Linked DNA regions of Schizosaccharomyces pombe. Changing the gene in region 2 together with the main gene of any one other region gives a genetic interaction. Each region holds a gene or a part of one and is shown on either strand. Other genes may lie near its edges.

Region 1 (6,903 bases), on a different chromosome or scaffold from region 2:
TCTTGAGTTTCAATTTGTTCAACCTCCTTTTTTTGGAGAGAAGACTTACCACCTTGTTGATTTAATAATCGCCTAACACGTTCATAAGCAGAGTCAAAATTAGATAAAAAATTCGTATCAGAATGAAGATAGATTTCGCTGCTATACGAGCGATTTTTCTGATTCTCTAAATTGCCAACGGTACTCTCTTTATCCAAAGATGCTTCAGATACAGCATTGCTAGACAATTGCATATCAACACTCGCCAACATTTTCCTCACCCTAGTGCGAGGCGTATCTAAAATATCCTCTTGATCATCATTGATGGAAGCCTCATCAGAAGAATCCATTCTGTGCAACTCATCAGCGTTCTCGTCTAAAGATGCCATAGATTTAAGCACCACAAAGCTCTTATTGAACGAGTAATGGTAGTTGCTTTGCCGCGATACATCTCTTAGTCCTCCTTAGAATTCATCAACAAACGCGACGCGTCTTGACGCGTCGCGACTTTCCAAGCTGCGCTCTATTAACAAGAAAACTACAACATATATACATAAAAATACAGGGTATTAAGAGAATTTATTGTAAAAAAAAAAACATATAGATATCAACTGTATAAAAAGGGATATTTCAATATTAATGTGCCAAAAATTCGGTGAAAATGAAATAAACCAAGGGTGGTTTTCTTTAATTATGTAAAACAAATGTCACGTAGTTGCAGATAAGAGTAAAGCGTTTAAACCATCAATGCTCACATCCGTCTAAAATTTTTAGTTCGAGCAGCATACAGCAATTTGAAACCATTGCAAAGTGCAGTCATATCACCATAAACGTTGCCCTGTAAAAAAAACGCATTTGGAATAACCTTCACCGGCCATGCCGTTACAGGACTATTAACACTAGCTTTGAAACATAAGATAAAGTATCCAGGATGTTGATGATCAAAGCAAAATGCATAACAGGATCGTTTAGGATTTGCCTCAGAATAACTCTCAAGCCATTTTTCGGTTTCCGCTTGTGTACCCTTTCGAAATTTATCATGTATACACATTTCATCTATTTTTTTAGCAATGGCTTTAATATGTAAAACAATCAGCTCATCGAGATCACTGTATTGATAAGTCATTTTTTCAAATCTTCCCTTTACTAGTAATTTCTGACCAATTGTAAACTCATTTTCTTTTTCCAATTCTAACACATCGATATGTTGGTAGGAGCCTTCAGCGACTTTCCATGTAACGACAATATGGTCAGAGCCCTTAGAAGATGGACGTATAACTAGATCGCCAACTTGCATTTTCGACAGATATGCTTCGGCTTGAGAGGCATTTAAATCCTTAAATAACGGGTGCTTAATTACGCGAGCAACTCGTTGTTCAGCCTGTGTTTCGGCCTGCATCCTCTCAGTATCCCGCTTTTCAGCCTCAGTATCCCAATAAGATGTACGATGAGAGCTAGTTTGTCTTTTAGAATTTGCCGATTGTAAAACACTATTTCTAAGTGAAAGATCAACCATAAAATTAGCCTCGTCCAAAGAAATAATTACACCTTCGACTGTTTGACCAACCTGAAGCAATTGGGGAGGGGGTATAAAATCGTCACTCACTTCATCGGCTTTAATATTTCCATCAATTCCACAATCGAGTTTGACGGCAACGAACCTATTAGTAACTCGCCTAACATTCACGGGTACAATTGCATCTGCTTGCAACTCTTCTGGATTTTCTCCGGTTAACATTAGGAAAATTTCCGAAGGTGTCAGCTTATGGAATACATTCCTTTGCTCTCCATAAGGATCCTTCAACTCCAGACGGATCTTTTCAAGAGTGTTTCGCTTCTTCTGGTGAAATTCACGTTCCAGTTGATCAGCATACTCTTCAAGAACAAGCTCATCAAGTTTTCCTGTTTCGTTTTCCTCTAAAAGGTGGTAAACCACCCCTCGATTGGTTTCAAGCTCTTCAATATCTTCCTCGTCAAGTTCTAGTGCATCACTTGCCATTTTTCTAGCTAACTCGTAGTCTTCATTATGTATCCTTGTAGAATCTAAAATATCCATATTGGGATACTCATCATTAGGAATAATGAAGAAAGAAGAGCAATTAATGAAAACTTTTCTCGACATTATTTGTTTTGAAATTAAATCACTACGATTATCAATACGTCCACCGGTAGCAGCGATTTTCTTTAAAACATAATCTGCTTTGCGAGGACCTAATCCCGCTATGTAGGGAAGTATATTAGCTTCATATTTGTTAGTCACTGCTTCGTTAATGTCAATACCCACCAAAGAAGATATATCGACTAACGCAGTTTCCAAGTATTTCCAGAGAACATCAGGGGGAAGCAAATGTTGCCAAGGATCAAATGATAAAGACATCAAATCACGACCCATAGCAGCGTACTCAAACAGAGGGTTTTGTACATACCGAGCCAATGCAACACAGTAGCAAGAAATAGTTGGTAGAGTAGGAAATTCATCAACAGCACGAGTAGAATTCTGATATAGACGAGCGACCTCATCATTCACCATGATTAGATCTACTGGTTCGTGAGACGTTAACGAATCTTGAACGTGTTGACGAATTTTATGAGCAGAAACGCTCATTCCCGAAACACCTATAACATCTGGCTTAACTTTTTCGACAAATTCAGCAAACATTGCTTGATTAGCAAGATCTCGTAGATCGGCAAGTTTTAATGAATCAGTAGGCTCACCCACATCATCAACAAATACGCAGATAATGGCATCAGACGATTCACCTTTTCCATTGGAGACGGCAAGGACTGATGGAATAGTGCCACGATCGAAATTTTTAGTTGAGGGCTCATAGGGAGCTTGATCAAGTCTTGAAAACAATTGATTTCGGCAGCGCATTCCAAGTTCGTCCAGGTATCGAGAACGTAAAGTTTCACGTATGGCATCGGGTGCTAATGCAGAAAACCTTTTAAATACTTCTTTTAATACCAATTCTCTCTGAGCATTCCATTGCATTGCGTTCTCAGAAAAATTATCTGAAACAAAAAGCTCGAGTAAACCTTTAAAAACATCATCAGGATCTTCAAATTCAATCGATAGTTGAATTAAGCCCTCTTCTTCGGCCTTTAACATTTTTAAAAATAGGATTGGCTCTAACTCAAACGAGCCCAAGGGTTTCCGTTTTAAATACTTAAATTCATAATAAGGATGCTCACTACCTATTTTACGGACACCTTTTTGAGTGGCCAAAACAGTAACGACTCCAGCATTGTACAATTTGTCACGGAAAGACTTTCGAAATTGAGGATCATGAATAATTTCCTCTGCTAAAACTCTACGTGCCTTTTGAAGTACCTGCTCAGGTGATGACAGCTCATTTGTCACATAAGTACGACTTAGTTCTTCAGGCGAAAGGGTGTTGTCTTCCACAAAACGGAGACGAGCACCCTGTGCTACGTTGAACGAAAAGTCTTTAGCACTCATACCAAATTCTTTGACGAGATTGTAAAGTGATGATTTTCTAAATTTTTCAAAAAAAGAATACTTCGAACCTTGTGGACGACGAAGACCAGTACCCATCAGTAAGGCACGATCACGGATTTGTTCAGAATAAGTGAAATGTATGTAATCATTAAGGTCATCAATTGCATCAAGAGAGGAAGCAGCTTCACAGAAGGGAACTACTAAATCATCATTAATTCCCAAATCAGAGTACAATTTTAGGATATCTTGCTTCTTAGAATGAAGTGACCAAAACTTGGTGCAAAGGAAAAAAATATTCCACAAATCATTTTGACTTAATAAAGGAGTAATTGTGTTCCTCTCACGATTGTTATGCACTATATAATCACGACGGTGCTGCCATATGAAGGGTACTTCAAGACTATCACGAATAAAGAAGTGAACTACATAGCGAACAGCAGTTTGAAACGGCTCATATAGTTCAGCATCAATATCACGCCTATTTTTTAAGAGATAATCGATAATCCAAGCAACTTGTTCCCTAAATTCATCTTCAGAGCAATCAATGTTCCTCTTCATATAAAGTTGCATACGTTCAGGTTCATCCGTGATTCTTATGATCTCATCCTCCTCGGTAAGCATTTTATCTTTTAGTTCACTGGGCTCAAAAATGGTCTTCAAACTGACAGACTCTTCTAACTCGTCTTCAGCATCTTCATCTTCAAGGGCAAATGCGTAATCTGTTCCATCGCCAAAGACTTCGTATATTTGTATATAATCATCATCCGATATTCCTAAAGCCTCAGGTCGTACTGATTCTATGGGCGGACCAGTCTCATATTTTTCTTCTTGACGCTCTTCGTCTTCAAATTCGTCTTGTTCAATGAAATCTGCAAATTCGTCGATAACGCCAGCGCGGTGGCCTTGCGTGCGATTAGGAGCTTCATCATCGACTTCGTTTTCTTCTTCTTCTTCTTCCTCAGAAAATATGTTTTCAAGAGTCTCTTCTTGATCTCTTCCACGTTTTAAACGTCTCAACTTAGAAAAACGAGAGCCTTGGCCTGTATTCTCCATGACAAGTTCCAGATCTTCCTCATCAAGCATATCTTGATCAGCAGTACTTTCGGCATGCTTCTTACGTTTCTTTTTGCGCCGAATTTCCTGAGGAACTTCGTCTTCTTCATCTTCGACGATGAAACCCTCTCTAACTTGTCGCTCAGCTTCTTCATCAGTTGCAGATTCTTCAGAAGAGTCATTCTCATCATTGTCATTATCTAAAGGAATTCCATCCTTTTCCTCTTCATTGTTGTTGTCATCCACATTTGTGCCTTCTCCATTTTCAGCTGGATAACCATCCTCATTTTTATCACCATTGGTGGTTGGTGACCCGACAACTTCGTTTTCACTCATTCCTATTTCTATAGTGGACGAAGGAACGGCTTCTCGAAGGTTTGCGGTCAATTGTGGCAGAGAAATACAATACTTGAAGATGCGCTTGCTTTAGATGGTGATATTTTAATAAAAGTTAATGCAGCATCATAAAACATTTAAGGAGCACATTAAAATTCACTAGTATGTTATAAGACAACGCAACGTGCTTTGTAGTTCTAACAAATATTCAATCGTACATATAAGCATAAAAATAAAGTGCTTTGCAAGAGCTAATATGCAATGCTGCTAATCTGAATTGTTGTTACAAAATACCACAGTCCTTGATATACAAGACAGACGTTGTTGTTACGATCACGACCATTCGTTGCAATGATTAGTTTTGGCTTTATTTATAGCCGATATCAAACTCCCTTTGAATAACTTACACGGGTATTTACAATAAAAATTATGAAATCCATTATTTCAAACACGTAAACCTTTTGAGCGAAAACAACCCTATTTACCAATATTAAAAGGATGAAAGGAAAAAAAAATTCCCTTCAACCATTCAAAATCCAAGTCATTTGTAAAAGCCAGAAAAACCGAATTAAATAAACCTTTTAAATGAAATCAACTTCTAATATGAACGAAGTTTAGCGGCTCCATCCACGCTCTTTGTCTTGAGAAATAGCTGATGATCTTTGTTTTGAATAAACATCAACGTGATTCTTCTTATTATAACCCGCACGTCGTTCTTTTTTGTCTGTTCGTCCACTAGCACCAATAGTGATATTGACGTTTGGAGGATGAGCAAAACCGAATGATTTAGCAACTTTTGCGAGATCCAATTTATTAATATCAAAGATAGATTTTAAAGAATATGAGGCATAGGCCTGCAAGTAGGAACGGTATCCATCCTTTGCAGACTGCTGCAAATAATAATTTTTGGAAACAAGCTTTTCGAGCTGAGATTGAACATTAGCAACTTTATTGGCAGGAAATTCAAACTCATTCAAAGAAACCTTGGCAGTTTTCAAATAACGAAGGAAACCGAGCTCAGAAGGAGCGAGGAACATAAGGGATTTACCAGTTCCCTTTGTTCCTCTAGCTGTACGACCTACACGATGAATATAATCTCGGGGGTCATCAGGAGGATCGTACTGCACGATCCAGTCAACGGCTGGAATATCTAACCCGCGTGCAGCAACATTGGTGCAAAGTAGTATTCCCTTTTCGGCATTGCAGAATTCAAAAAAGGTGTTTGTACGACGCTGTTGCTTTTGCTTGCCATGAAGATCAAGTACTGGTAAATCTATATAGTTCAGTAATTCTGCCATATATTTGACAGAAGCACAAGATGACATGAAAACAATAACTTTTTTCTTCAAATTGCGTTTTAAGAAGGAAAATAAAAGAAGAAACCGTTTGTCAGAATCAACTACAACATAACCTTGCTCCAATCCTTCAACGGTAGAGGTAGGCTTACCAGAATCAACGTTAACATACAAGGGTCCGGGCTTAAGAGAGATACGAGCAAGATCTTCAACTTTAGTTGTCTGTGTAGCAGAAAACAGGAGGGTTTGTCGATTTTCCGAGGGAAGGATTTTCATGATTTGTCTCATTTCGTCCTCAAAACCAATCTCCAAAATTCTGTCGGCTTCGTCAATCACTAAGGATCGTAAATTGCGGAATACAAATCCTTTGGTATTTTGCAAGTGATCCAGTAAACGACCAGGAGTAGCAACTAATAGGTTAACACCTTTCACCAATTTATCAGCTTCAGCACGGCGATTAGCACCGCCAATGACGATACCAAATGTTTGGTGATGGTATTTCAACAACTCCTTTGCGACACCAAAAATTTGAAGAGCCAATTCACGAGTAGGAGATATAATAATAACACCAGTACCATTACGAGGCTTAAATTTCAATGCATAAAGCATTTCAATGGTAGGAATTAGAAAAGCCAAAGTTTTACCACTACCAGTTTTAGCTGCACCTAAAACATCACGACCGGCCAAAAGAGGAGGAATAGAGCGCTTTTGAATTTCTGTCATCGTTTCAAAGCCCATTTCTTTAATTGCCTTTTGGATGTTTTCAGAGAGTTGTAGGTC
Region 2 (4,656 bases):
ATCAATACTGAAGGTGATCTATTAGAAATTATTATAAATTAGCCGAAGCAATTATCCCTAAGAAGACCTCAACTTTTAAAATCGGAAAGGACAAATCTTTGAAGCAATAAGCTCTTAATTTTATGGAACCTAATAACTTTAACAGCTACACATTACTAATTGCTTTTGGCACGACCCAAATTGCTTAAGGTATACGTGTAATGCTTGTTTTATACCGTTAGTGGAGACTTGACCTCTTTTAGCAATGAAGTACTAGCAAAATTTATGATAATCGCACATCTAATAAAAGATAATTTCACCAAATGAAAAAAAAAACCACCTAAGCAATTAATATACGATTTAAGTCACATACATTTAAATTAAGCCCTTGTTGGTGAATCTTTATTAATTATTAATCGTTTATGAACGCTGAAGTACCTTAACCTGTTAATTGTAAAGATCATTTCTATATAATGTTAATAGGTCATCAATGAGCCGCTTTTTCATTTTCAAATCGAATTTGACATTGAGGTGTTGATTTACATCTATTGAAAATGAAGGAGCAACCGATTTGCCTATATATTTTCATGCCTCTTTTTTTGCTTGTTTTTTGTTTCATATTCATCAATGTACAACGTGCTATTGGATTACAACACGTTATTATGGTAAACCGAACGATAACGAGATTCATTCGTTGTAACCACATAATACAAAAAGCAACTTTACTGTTTTGAGAAAGAGCAAGCATACCATGAACTATCTTGAAGGTACGATCGATTTTGCAGGACAATTAAGGTGTCAAAAGTATATGAACTATGGTCTATGTACAAGTGCTGTATGTCAGGGATAAAATCTCATTTATTTACTAATATATCTATAGGTTATTTCGTACATTTATGGGTATTTAGTTCAAGATTCTTATTGTGTGATTAAATTGTTTTTAATTTTAGCATCGTTGGTGGCTCTTGTAAGCTAGTTTTTTTGCTTCTAGTCATGTAATATTAACATTCATTTAAAAATAGGTGTGTCTTCCTGCTTGGTCTATGTACAACAAAAACCCTTTAAAATTTCAAAAGAAAAAGGAGTAAGCGGGAAATGGGGAATCTTTCTTTACTTGAATCGCAATCTCGCGAAATTAAAGAACCAAAATACCAAACAAAAGTTGCTCCGGCTTTATAGAATACAAATAATCTTTCATTCCAAAAGTAATGCTAAACATGTTTTAACAACTTTTGTCCGAAAACCTTTTTTTAAACGCACATTTTTTGCATATCCACAATACACGATCGATAGATGGATTTTTCCGTGATGGTTCCTCAAATCTTATTGAACATGACTTTCCTGGTACCAATAAAGAGTTACATCCTTTACATATGGTGCGCTTTATATCTGGGTGTATTCGCATTACTGATTTTTGTGAAACATCCTTGGCTGTAGAGATATAGTGTCTCGACAATGTAGGTTCTTGAACGTTTCTAAAAAGTAATTGCGAAGCCTGGTATAAATATGATACCCTTGCATGTTGGTCCTTTGACTTTGTACTCATCTCGACCGTTTATGTTTAAAACACTTGAGCTATTAAAGGAATTGCAAAACAGAGAACAAACAACTTTCCGTTTTTATAATGGAATGCAAAAGTCAAAAAAATTATTTTTAACTTAACAATTTAATTATGTTTCTTATAAAAATCCTTCATTAAATTAATTAATAAATAGTTAATGCTTGTTGCAGTCTGATTTTACCATAGGTCAAATTTTTAATTTGTTTTTCCACGGTAAACTGCGTTATGTAATTCTTTGTAAAAGAGTACGATAAATTTTTAAGGCTTTTGGATCAATTATAACCGAGATATAAAGAGAGCACATATGTTTATTCAATTAAAAAAAAATCGGTCTTGAGTTTCGCTTGGGTTTATATGATTAATTTCTCTTACCTATAAATAGTGAGAAATCATATATTCGTAAGCTATTATTAATACTTGTTCTTTTTAGCTGATGATGTGGAACGAACAAGAGCCTAATATTTTCATGTATTTTAATGATTTTCTTGTAAAACAGTAGCTTTAGTATTTTCTGACAAAGAACTTCTGTTTGATTGTTTACATTTTTAAATAGTGAGCTAAATAATTTAGAGTCTATGCTAGTCGCGACGCGTCAAACCCCTGTCAAAACCAAAACTCATTGTATCGAGCTCTTGCATTTGTTCCAACAATTACTGTTTAAAAACCTTTATTCCCAAAAGAAATTGATAGGAACAACTTAATATGGCAAAGAAATCTTTAATGGCTGAGCCTGGAGATCCTATTCCACGGCCACGTAAAAAGAGATATCGTCCAGGTACTACGGCGTTAAGAGAGATTCGAAAATATCAAAGGTCTACAGACTTATTAATACAAAGGCTCCCGTTTTCAAGAATTGTACGAGAGATATCTTCAGAATTTGTAGCCAATTTTTCAACGGATGTTGGTTTGCGCTGGCAATCTACGGCACTGCAATGTCTTCAGGAAGCGGCTGAAGCGTTCTTGGTTCATCTATTTGAAGATACGAATTTATGTGCTATTCATGCTAAACGAGTGACGATTATGCAACGAGACATGCAATTAGCCAGGAGGATTCGTGGTGCTTGACACTATATATTCAACAAAAAAAAATAGTTTTACGCTTAATCATATTGAAATTGGAATTGCTAAGGTATGATCAGTTTAATTGATATCAGGTGATTTTGAGACAGATCTTTAGCTACTCATTATAAGACTCTAAGCATGCTATCTACCAAAGAATTATTAAAAAAAATGTACGAATATGCTCATAATGAATGATAAATCTCACTCCTAGTTAATGCCATGTGAGTACCGAAGCAACGCAAATTAGATCACGTCTTGTTTCGCTTCATTATTATTCAGGCTGGAATCCTGGTCATCAATCTTATTTCCATACTTCCTTTTACTTTTTTTCTCTCGCTGTTTTTTCTTCTTGACAATACGTTGAACTTTTCTTGCTAAAAGACTATCGTTCCCGTGTTTGAATTCATCTACTTTCTCCGTTAACCGTTTCCTTGCAATACAACGATTTTGTTCACGTGAACGTGTGTCTTGAGATCGAACGATAATTCCCGTCGGAATATGTTTGACTTGGGCCACTATGCTAGTTTTATTTATTTTTTGTCCACCAGGGCCCTTTCCACATATAAATGTTTCCTCAATATCTTCTTCTTGGAGTCTTTCTAGTTGATAAGGTGTTTCTTTTTTAGAGCAATACCATGTATGCCGAAAATTTAGTTCTGCCAGACAAGAAAATGCATTTAGTCTTACTGAAATAAATGTTTTGTTCAAACACTTTCGTGCTGCGCACAGCATCTATGTTCACCTAAACGTGTTACTGCTAATAAATAGACAAACTTGACTAAAATAAACAACCTTGTCCTTTGGAATGATAATAGGCGGTCTGGTTGATTAGCGTGAAACTTGCTTAATACATTAAAAAGTTATAAGGGGATTTTGTATTATTGCTTTTCTCAAAGGTTACTGTTACAAAAAAGAAGAAAACAGAAACTTCTAAATTAGCAGAAAATTCACGATGTTGGAATATCGATGAACAAAATTGCGCACTTATTGCATAAGTTTAAAACTCTTTAATGTAATATTCTATTGTCACACTGCCCCAATAATATTTGTTTGGCATAATGCAATAGATACTGTATTACATTACATGCACAGAAGAATTTTTTTTTTTTTTTTTATTTTCACCTTTACTCTCACTCGAGTAGTGTTTTGCCTGCTTTCCAATTGACACCTCTTCTGTTTAGTCTAAAGTTTTTCGTTCAATAATTTAAAAAAGTCTTAATTTTCTTTAATTTGCTCGTGACTCAACATAAAAATAACATCAATGAGAGCATACATTTTCCAAGACGAAGGCGATCAAAGAAAGCCGAATGACTCAAAGATTGAAGTTTCAGCTGAAGATTTAGAAGCTGCTAAAGTGTCCTATAGACATCATGATGGAGATCTACATACCTTCGCCGATGGCCTTATGAAAGAATATGGATTTAAAAATCGGGATGAAGTTGTTGTTAGTAGAAAAGGACTTGGAGATCGTTATGACAATATGGTAAAGAAGTTCTTTGAAGAACATTTGCACGAAGATGAGGAAATTCGATTAATTCTCGATGGTAATGGTTACTTTGATGTCCGTTCTGTCGATGATAGATGGGTTCGAATTTTTGTTGAGAAAGGCGACTTAATAATACTTCCTCCTGGAATTTATCATCGTTTTACTACGACCACTGATGACTATATACACGCAATGCGCTTGTTTCATGAAAATCCAAAATGGATTGCATTGTCTCGCACAGATTCAACCAGCGAGGAACTGGATGCACGAAAAAGTTATTTGAACAGTATTAAAAAAAGTGTTTATGTTTAATTAGGTATATGCAACAACTGATTTATATCAATAATCTTACGTATGGATTAACACTAGATATTAATAAGAAACTTCCTTTATAAGGGTTTAATGTACAATAAAGATAGTAATAAATATAGTCACTAATCATTTATGATCATATTATTTTAAGTTACTGATTGTATTTGCTTATTGGAATGCAGCTTTCAATACACACAATTCTTTCATCTCGCTACGACACAACAGTCCCTACCTACTCACTGCCTACCTTTTGCCG
Region 3 (5,781 bases), on a different chromosome or scaffold from region 2:
TGCTCATTGACTTTGTTGATTACACCGCCTAATTCAACTTCACCGGATTCCAATTTTTTGCGAGAATTAGCATTAGCTGGATCTAAAGCCAAAAATTTTAGAAAATCCTTTGAGTAGGATTCAAGACATTGTATTAACAAACGAGAAGAAACATTTGGATTGCTGGGATTACTTTCGATACACTGCAATAAGTATAAAAGAGCGGAAAAGTGCTGAGATTCCCAGACATCCATGGTACAGCTTCTCAAAACTAATGGGAACCGACCTGCAGTTGTCTTAAAATTAAAAGAGTGTGGAAGAATCCAGGTTTTATGATGTTCTGGCCTAGTTGTCGAGTTTGGTCCTAAAAGGAGGTATATAGTAAAGTAGAGAATAATAACAGAATGCTATTTAGGCAGTAGCGAAATTCTTCATTCGAAGATATCAACTCTAGTACGACTAAAAAGTTATATTATAATTTGAAAATATCGTGTTTTATTACCAAGATTGATGAAAATATTTTTGTTAAGTTGCTTGGGGAGCCGTTAAACCCAGCATGCAATGCCATGTGGGTATAAAGGATAAAATAATATACAACTAATAAACAAAATTAATTTTACAACTTTTTCGTTTTCGAAAGCTCCTTGAGTGACCAATGAAATGAGTGATACTACAGTTTCGAATAGCTCTTAAAATTCACAACGAAAGTACTAAAGTACTATAAGGATTAATTAAAATACAACTTTTAGAAAGAGTATTTGAATTAACTTTTTCCTCGTCTACCATACCTATAATCTCTAATTTGCTATAATAACTGTTAACTTAATTTAATTTACTCGTTGTACCTTCAATGAGGAAGTTCAGAGTTCATAGCAGAAATCCCTTTCGTTCATTGTATTTTAAAACCCTCTCTTTTCTTTTGTAAAATATTCTCTATTCATCCCATGTGTGTTACAGTTTCAATGGTGATTACAGACAAGTTAGAGAGCCCAAAATCTTCAGTATATAACTTGCTGAATTGCATAACAAAGGGCTTTATAATAAAAAGATTTCCAATACTTTTTAAATGCGACTGGGCAGCTGTACAATTGAATGTTCAGCATACCTAGTGCCTAGTGTAAACATTTATCGTGAGAAGACAAATTCGATGCGGTGGAAATCGTAAAAAGGGCAATCATAAATACAAAGAAAAATACAAAAGCATATCTTTTTTAAAAAAAAAGAAAACTTAGAGTAGCATTGGTTTTAAATAGTTGTATGACTTGTGTTCAATTGCGCGCTTCGTGCTTCCGATCACTAGCACACCAAGAAAGTCTCTTGTTTCATTTTTAGTATAATCTGTTACATTTATCACGTTTACTTGTTATTGAAGCAGCGGCCGTATAAATCACCTCTACAAGTCTAAATATACTCGATATTATAATAATCATAAATAAACCTTGAGCTAGAATACTTTTTAACCTTATATATATAAGTACATAAGTTCAAGCTCTCATTTTGGTCATAATAATGATACCAACCTGTTTTGTAACAACCTTAATAAACATAAAAGCATTCAATTCCTAACAATTATATAAAGAGCACAAGAAAAGTGATGCTCAAAGAATTTTACTTGCCAGAAATTAAAAGTTACCATTATCGCTTTTAGCTTCGGCGGTCATAGTGAGCTTGGAAAAGTTCAGCATCCATGAGAGTAAACGATATTGCCTACTCATTAATAAATATAGGAATTTAGCAATTATATAATATATTGAAAAATAAATAATTTATGCTTTCAATGCCTTTATTTTACTTTTTATAATGGAAATACCATTTGTTATAAAATTCCAAACATTAGGTAACACACATTACCAAGTAACAATATGGGGATTAGTGTCGTTTCGAGCGTATCTAAAGTCTTAAGTAAATCAAGTCAAAAACTGGGTTGTTCAAATATCTTCGAAAACGCGATAATTCACGCGTTATTTTTTTAAAAAATAGACATTCATATACATTTTTATTATAAAATTTAAAATTTACTGTATCTTTGGATGCCCGGAATTTTCATTAGGAAGCGCGACTCGACATTCATTTCATGCTAGCCAAAGATTTAACCCACCAACAACACAACACATTCTTCATCGATATTCCCCTATAGAATACGAATTGATTGTCAAAGTGTTCGTTCGTTGAAGGAGGAGGAACTCTTGAAGCTACGAGACCCAAGCCATTGTCTCCCCTTCGCGAACAATGATGGAAAAGTCTCTGAACACGGTAACGTCTTTACCTCGTATGTCTTGCTTTTCCAGCTAAATGGCTTTGCTCTTTAGCTCTTCATTTGTCTTTCATAATTTTATTCATTTTTTCTAATGTTTGTCTGTGTTTAGTTCGTGTTATTTATTGTATTGATCGCGCATCCGCGATTCGCTGTTTAGCAAAGTCTCAACATGCTGTGCCCATTCAGGTGCTGAAGGAAGTGGAACCGAAAAAAGTGATTTGCCAGGTAGACATTCAGCATGTTATACAAACAGTTTGCCGCTGTAGTCCTGAATTGAGTTGCAAATCACAAGGTGATTTTAGCGTGTATTTTTTAGACCATACGGAACCAGATGAACTCTTCGTCGGACTAGGCTATTGGTCTTCTTTGTTGTTATCTCCTACTCTTAATGCTGGCACGTCAAATTCCGACACAGTTTGGGTGAATGGGTTTATTGTAGAGTTCGGTATTCAACGGTCCATAGAAATCAAGTTGAGATTCCAATCCTTGCAGAACTCCTTCGAGGTTGGAACTCCAGAAACACATACGTCTTCTAAATTTTTATCTTCCACTTTACCTCCATCTCTTATATTTGATCCATCATCTTCCGAAAAATCCGATTCTATTTCTGGATCTTTGTTTGATACGAACTATACATGTCCTGTCAACATAAACGGTCTTTCCAAACAAAAGTCTGTCCGCGAATTAAAATCTCCTTCACGTCCCTCCGCATTAGCTGAAACAAATGTTGAAGAGCTTGAGTTAGATTCTTTGTTCCATGCGTCAAATGACATTTCATGCTCTGCAACTTCTTTCTCTGAGCCATACATACTCGATCATCAAGCGGCGCTTGACCATCCTGCTACTGACCCTGTATGTTCTGCGTCGTCTACTACTGTAAATTCTGCAGTAAGCACAAAAAAACGCCGACGTGAAAGTAGCACCATTTCGCCAGAGTCGGCTTATGTTGCAGCTCAGCTACAAAATCCATCTGAACGTGAACAAGTTCATGAATTTATTAAAGAACAAGTTCGAATAGCTCGTGGGCGCATTGAGAAAAAGTTTACCAATGTACGTGGGAAGAATCGAATTGAAGAACAACTTACCTTGAGCTTGCAAGAAGGGAAAATTCCACCATATTGTCAAAACTGTGGAACCATCAAAACTGCCAATTGGCGCAATGCTACGTACATGAACATAACTTTGATGCTTTGTAATGCATGTGGTATATATTGGACGAGTCGGCGCTCGATGCGTCCAAGAAATTTATGGTCTACCTATAAAGCATTTGAAACAGAGAAACCGTTGGAAAATGATGCATTTGCTCAGCTTGAGTTAGCCGTATATAAACTTTCCCAGCAACGAAAACTATCTATATCCATCTTCCGTGAGCTTGAAAATGCAGGACGGCACTCTCCTCTGAATAGACTTACGTCTTTAGACTCAACACACTCTGCACCTGATCCCAATCATATCTCAAAACCCTCTGTTGTTAATCAGCAGAAATCCAGAGGAGGTCCCCGTACTGCTAAGCTGAAAAATGACCTCAGACGCATACAATCATCTCCCATTGTTGCACCTACTCCTGATACATCATTTCGTGAGCCTTTATCCGAAATTGGGTCTAATGATAGTTGGCTGGTATTACCAAATTCACTAAGTGCCAATATACAAAATGATGTTTTAAGAAAAACTGATTTCATGTGTACTGACAAGGAAAACGTCGCTTTTCCTTTGAAAACCACAACAAAGCCTATGCCTAAAGTAAATAAAGAAGAGACAGAGCCAACTCTGCCTGTTTGCGATTCAGAAAAAGAAAATGATGATTTAGAGTGCTATTTCAGAACCCCTCCAAAACCAACTACCTTACAAAAGCAACAACAAAGTCCATCACCCTGGAGGTCAGAGTTATTTTTGTCTGACCCTGACCAAAACGTATTGACACCAAGGCATAAGCCAAAGTTTGATTTATCAAAGGCATTGTCTTCGGTTGCAAAATCCAATAACATTGAGAATTCACCTCAATTACCAGAAAGATATGATTTTTCTTTAGAATTGGGGTTGAATTCTCAACTCGATAATGAAGAAAGACGCGATATTCCTCTGATGACAGATTTGGTGATGCCAAGTAGTCCGCCCATGGTCCCTGCTGACAGGCATTTATCCGTTGAAAACACTTGTTGAAAGAGCGATAAAGGCGTACCTTTGCTTCACACATTACCCTTGTTCTTTAATTTTTTGTTTTATCAAGAAGTCATGTGTGATCAAAATTGACATCTTTCATTATTCGAGTCTTCTTGCTTTTTTATGATTTTTATTTTGATAATGACATCCTTAATTCGTTTTCTTAACCGCAAAAAAATGATTGTTGCTGTTAAAGTCCTTACTGCGTAAGAACTCCCAAGGCATGTCCCCTCAAATCCGTCCTTCGTTCTTTTTATTTCTAAAGCAATTTATTTTATTTTCTTTCATACCATGAGCCGTTATTACCTCCCCCTTGATTATTAAAATATTTCAAGTCGTTGCTTATTGTTGGCGGCATAGCCAAGAGCATGCGACAAGCATTCTATAAATCTTGTCGCAAAATAGAAGTTGGACACTATTTCTTTTAATCTTCTCAAATGTTCTTCGACTTCATCTTTGAGGCTCGGTTTATGGAAATTTTGGATACTTCGTGATAGTTCTGTCTGTTTTGCTTATACAAACAAATTATAATTTCATTAATTGTATTATGAAAGCCGATATGGACAAAGCCACATCCTTATTTTACATACGGAAAAAGTTACTTTTAATTATTTATATGAACACTGTTATTCTTGTTAGCATGTTTATGTTGCGAAACGTTTCTAATTGATTATTATGGGTAGACCGGATAATTGATATTTAGCAAATTCACTAGACGAACACATGACAAATTTTTTTCAGTAATGCGAACCAAAGTCACGCGAAAGCAAGTGTAAAAGTCGAAGGATTTCAATACATGGTTCAATATTTTTGTCTAGAATAAATCAAACGTTTAGTTCATATATTCAAAACAACAGCTTATTGCTGCTTACTATTTCTAATTTTCTAATAGCCTTTTGTTAGCATTTTTGTATTATAATGTAGTTCAATGCAGAGCGGATAACGGTTTAGTGGAAGTTAACCTAGTACGTAAAAATGATTTCCGAAGATCTCGGTATACCACGCGTGACGTAAATGCCCGAGTTTATTAGCACTGACTGACTTAACAAGTTTATACTTACGCAGAAACCCAAGGAAAATCGGTGTTTCTCGTATATACTATACAATCAGCAATTTTATACCTGATATTATAATTGAAGGTATTTAGTTAATTTGAAAAGCAATTTTTTTGTCGGTACTGAAGTGTTTGAACGAATATGAAGGGAAGCCATCCAAATGCAGGTTCCCTGTTGGAACCACTTCACAAGTTGAACCCATTTTCTGAAAATTCTACAAGTGGACATCGAAAAAACGCTAGTGATCATTCGGCGGATGGAGAAACTCGACCGATTGCAATTGAGATGAAGGATAGTAAAGGCAACACAGTCCCAGTTGGTAACTCG

Evidence for each region.
Region 1: of cnp1 (region 2) and spt6, extra expression of one is lethal in a mutant of the other (dosage lethality), as found in Schizosaccharomyces pombe (one study listed by BioGRID).
Region 3: of cnp1 (region 2) and ams2, extra expression of one rescues a mutant of the other (dosage rescue), as found in Schizosaccharomyces pombe (2 studies listed by BioGRID).

What each region holds. Positions count from the first base shown.
Region 1 is NC_003424.3:4,211,976-4,218,878, forward strand, and holds spt6 (transcription elongation factor Spt6), read right to left. Parts: upstream 4,887-6,903; 5' UTR 4,829-4,886; coding exon 731-4,828; 3' UTR 501-730; downstream 1-500. Other genes in the region: mrc1 (claspin), read right to left, coding at 1-368; ATP-dependent RNA helicase Has1, read right to left, coding at 5,443-6,903. UniProt on the Schizosaccharomyces pombe protein: Histone H3-H4 chaperone that plays a role in maintenance of chromatin structure during RNA polymerase II transcription elongation thereby repressing transcription initiation from cryptic promoters.
Region 2 is NC_003423.3:3,536,359-3,541,014, forward strand, and holds cnp1 (centromere-specific histone H3 CENP-A), read left to right. Parts: upstream 1-2,145; 5' UTR 2,146-2,242; coding exon 2,243-2,605; 3' UTR 2,606-2,845; coding exon of another isoform or gene 2,846-3,334; 3' UTR 3,335-3,805; downstream 3,806-4,656. Other genes in the region: signal peptidase complex subunit Spc1, read left to right, coding at 731-814, 860-946, 1,002-1,067; RNase P subunit Rpr2, read right to left, coding at 1,202-1,525; pth3 (peptide release factor), read right to left, coding at 2,846-3,334; adi1 (acireductone dioxygenase family protein), read left to right, coding at 3,864-4,400. UniProt on the Schizosaccharomyces pombe protein: Histone H3-like nucleosomal protein that is specifically found in centromeric nucleosomes. Replaces conventional H3 in the nucleosome core of centromeric chromatin that serves as an assembly site for the inner kinetochore.
Region 3 is NC_003421.2:1,999,084-2,004,864, forward strand, and holds ams2 (GATA-type transcription factor Ams2), read left to right. Parts: upstream 1-2,075; 5' UTR 2,076-2,208; coding exon 2,209-2,248; exon of another isoform or gene 2,249-2,345; coding exon 2,346-4,399; 3' UTR 4,400-5,281; downstream 5,282-5,781. Other genes in the region: nucleoporin Nup186, read right to left, coding at 1-233; serine/threonine protein phosphatase PP2C catalytic subunit Ptc1, read left to right, coding at 5,596-5,781. UniProt on the Schizosaccharomyces pombe protein: Required for proper chromosome segregation via regulation of CENP-A localization to the centromere.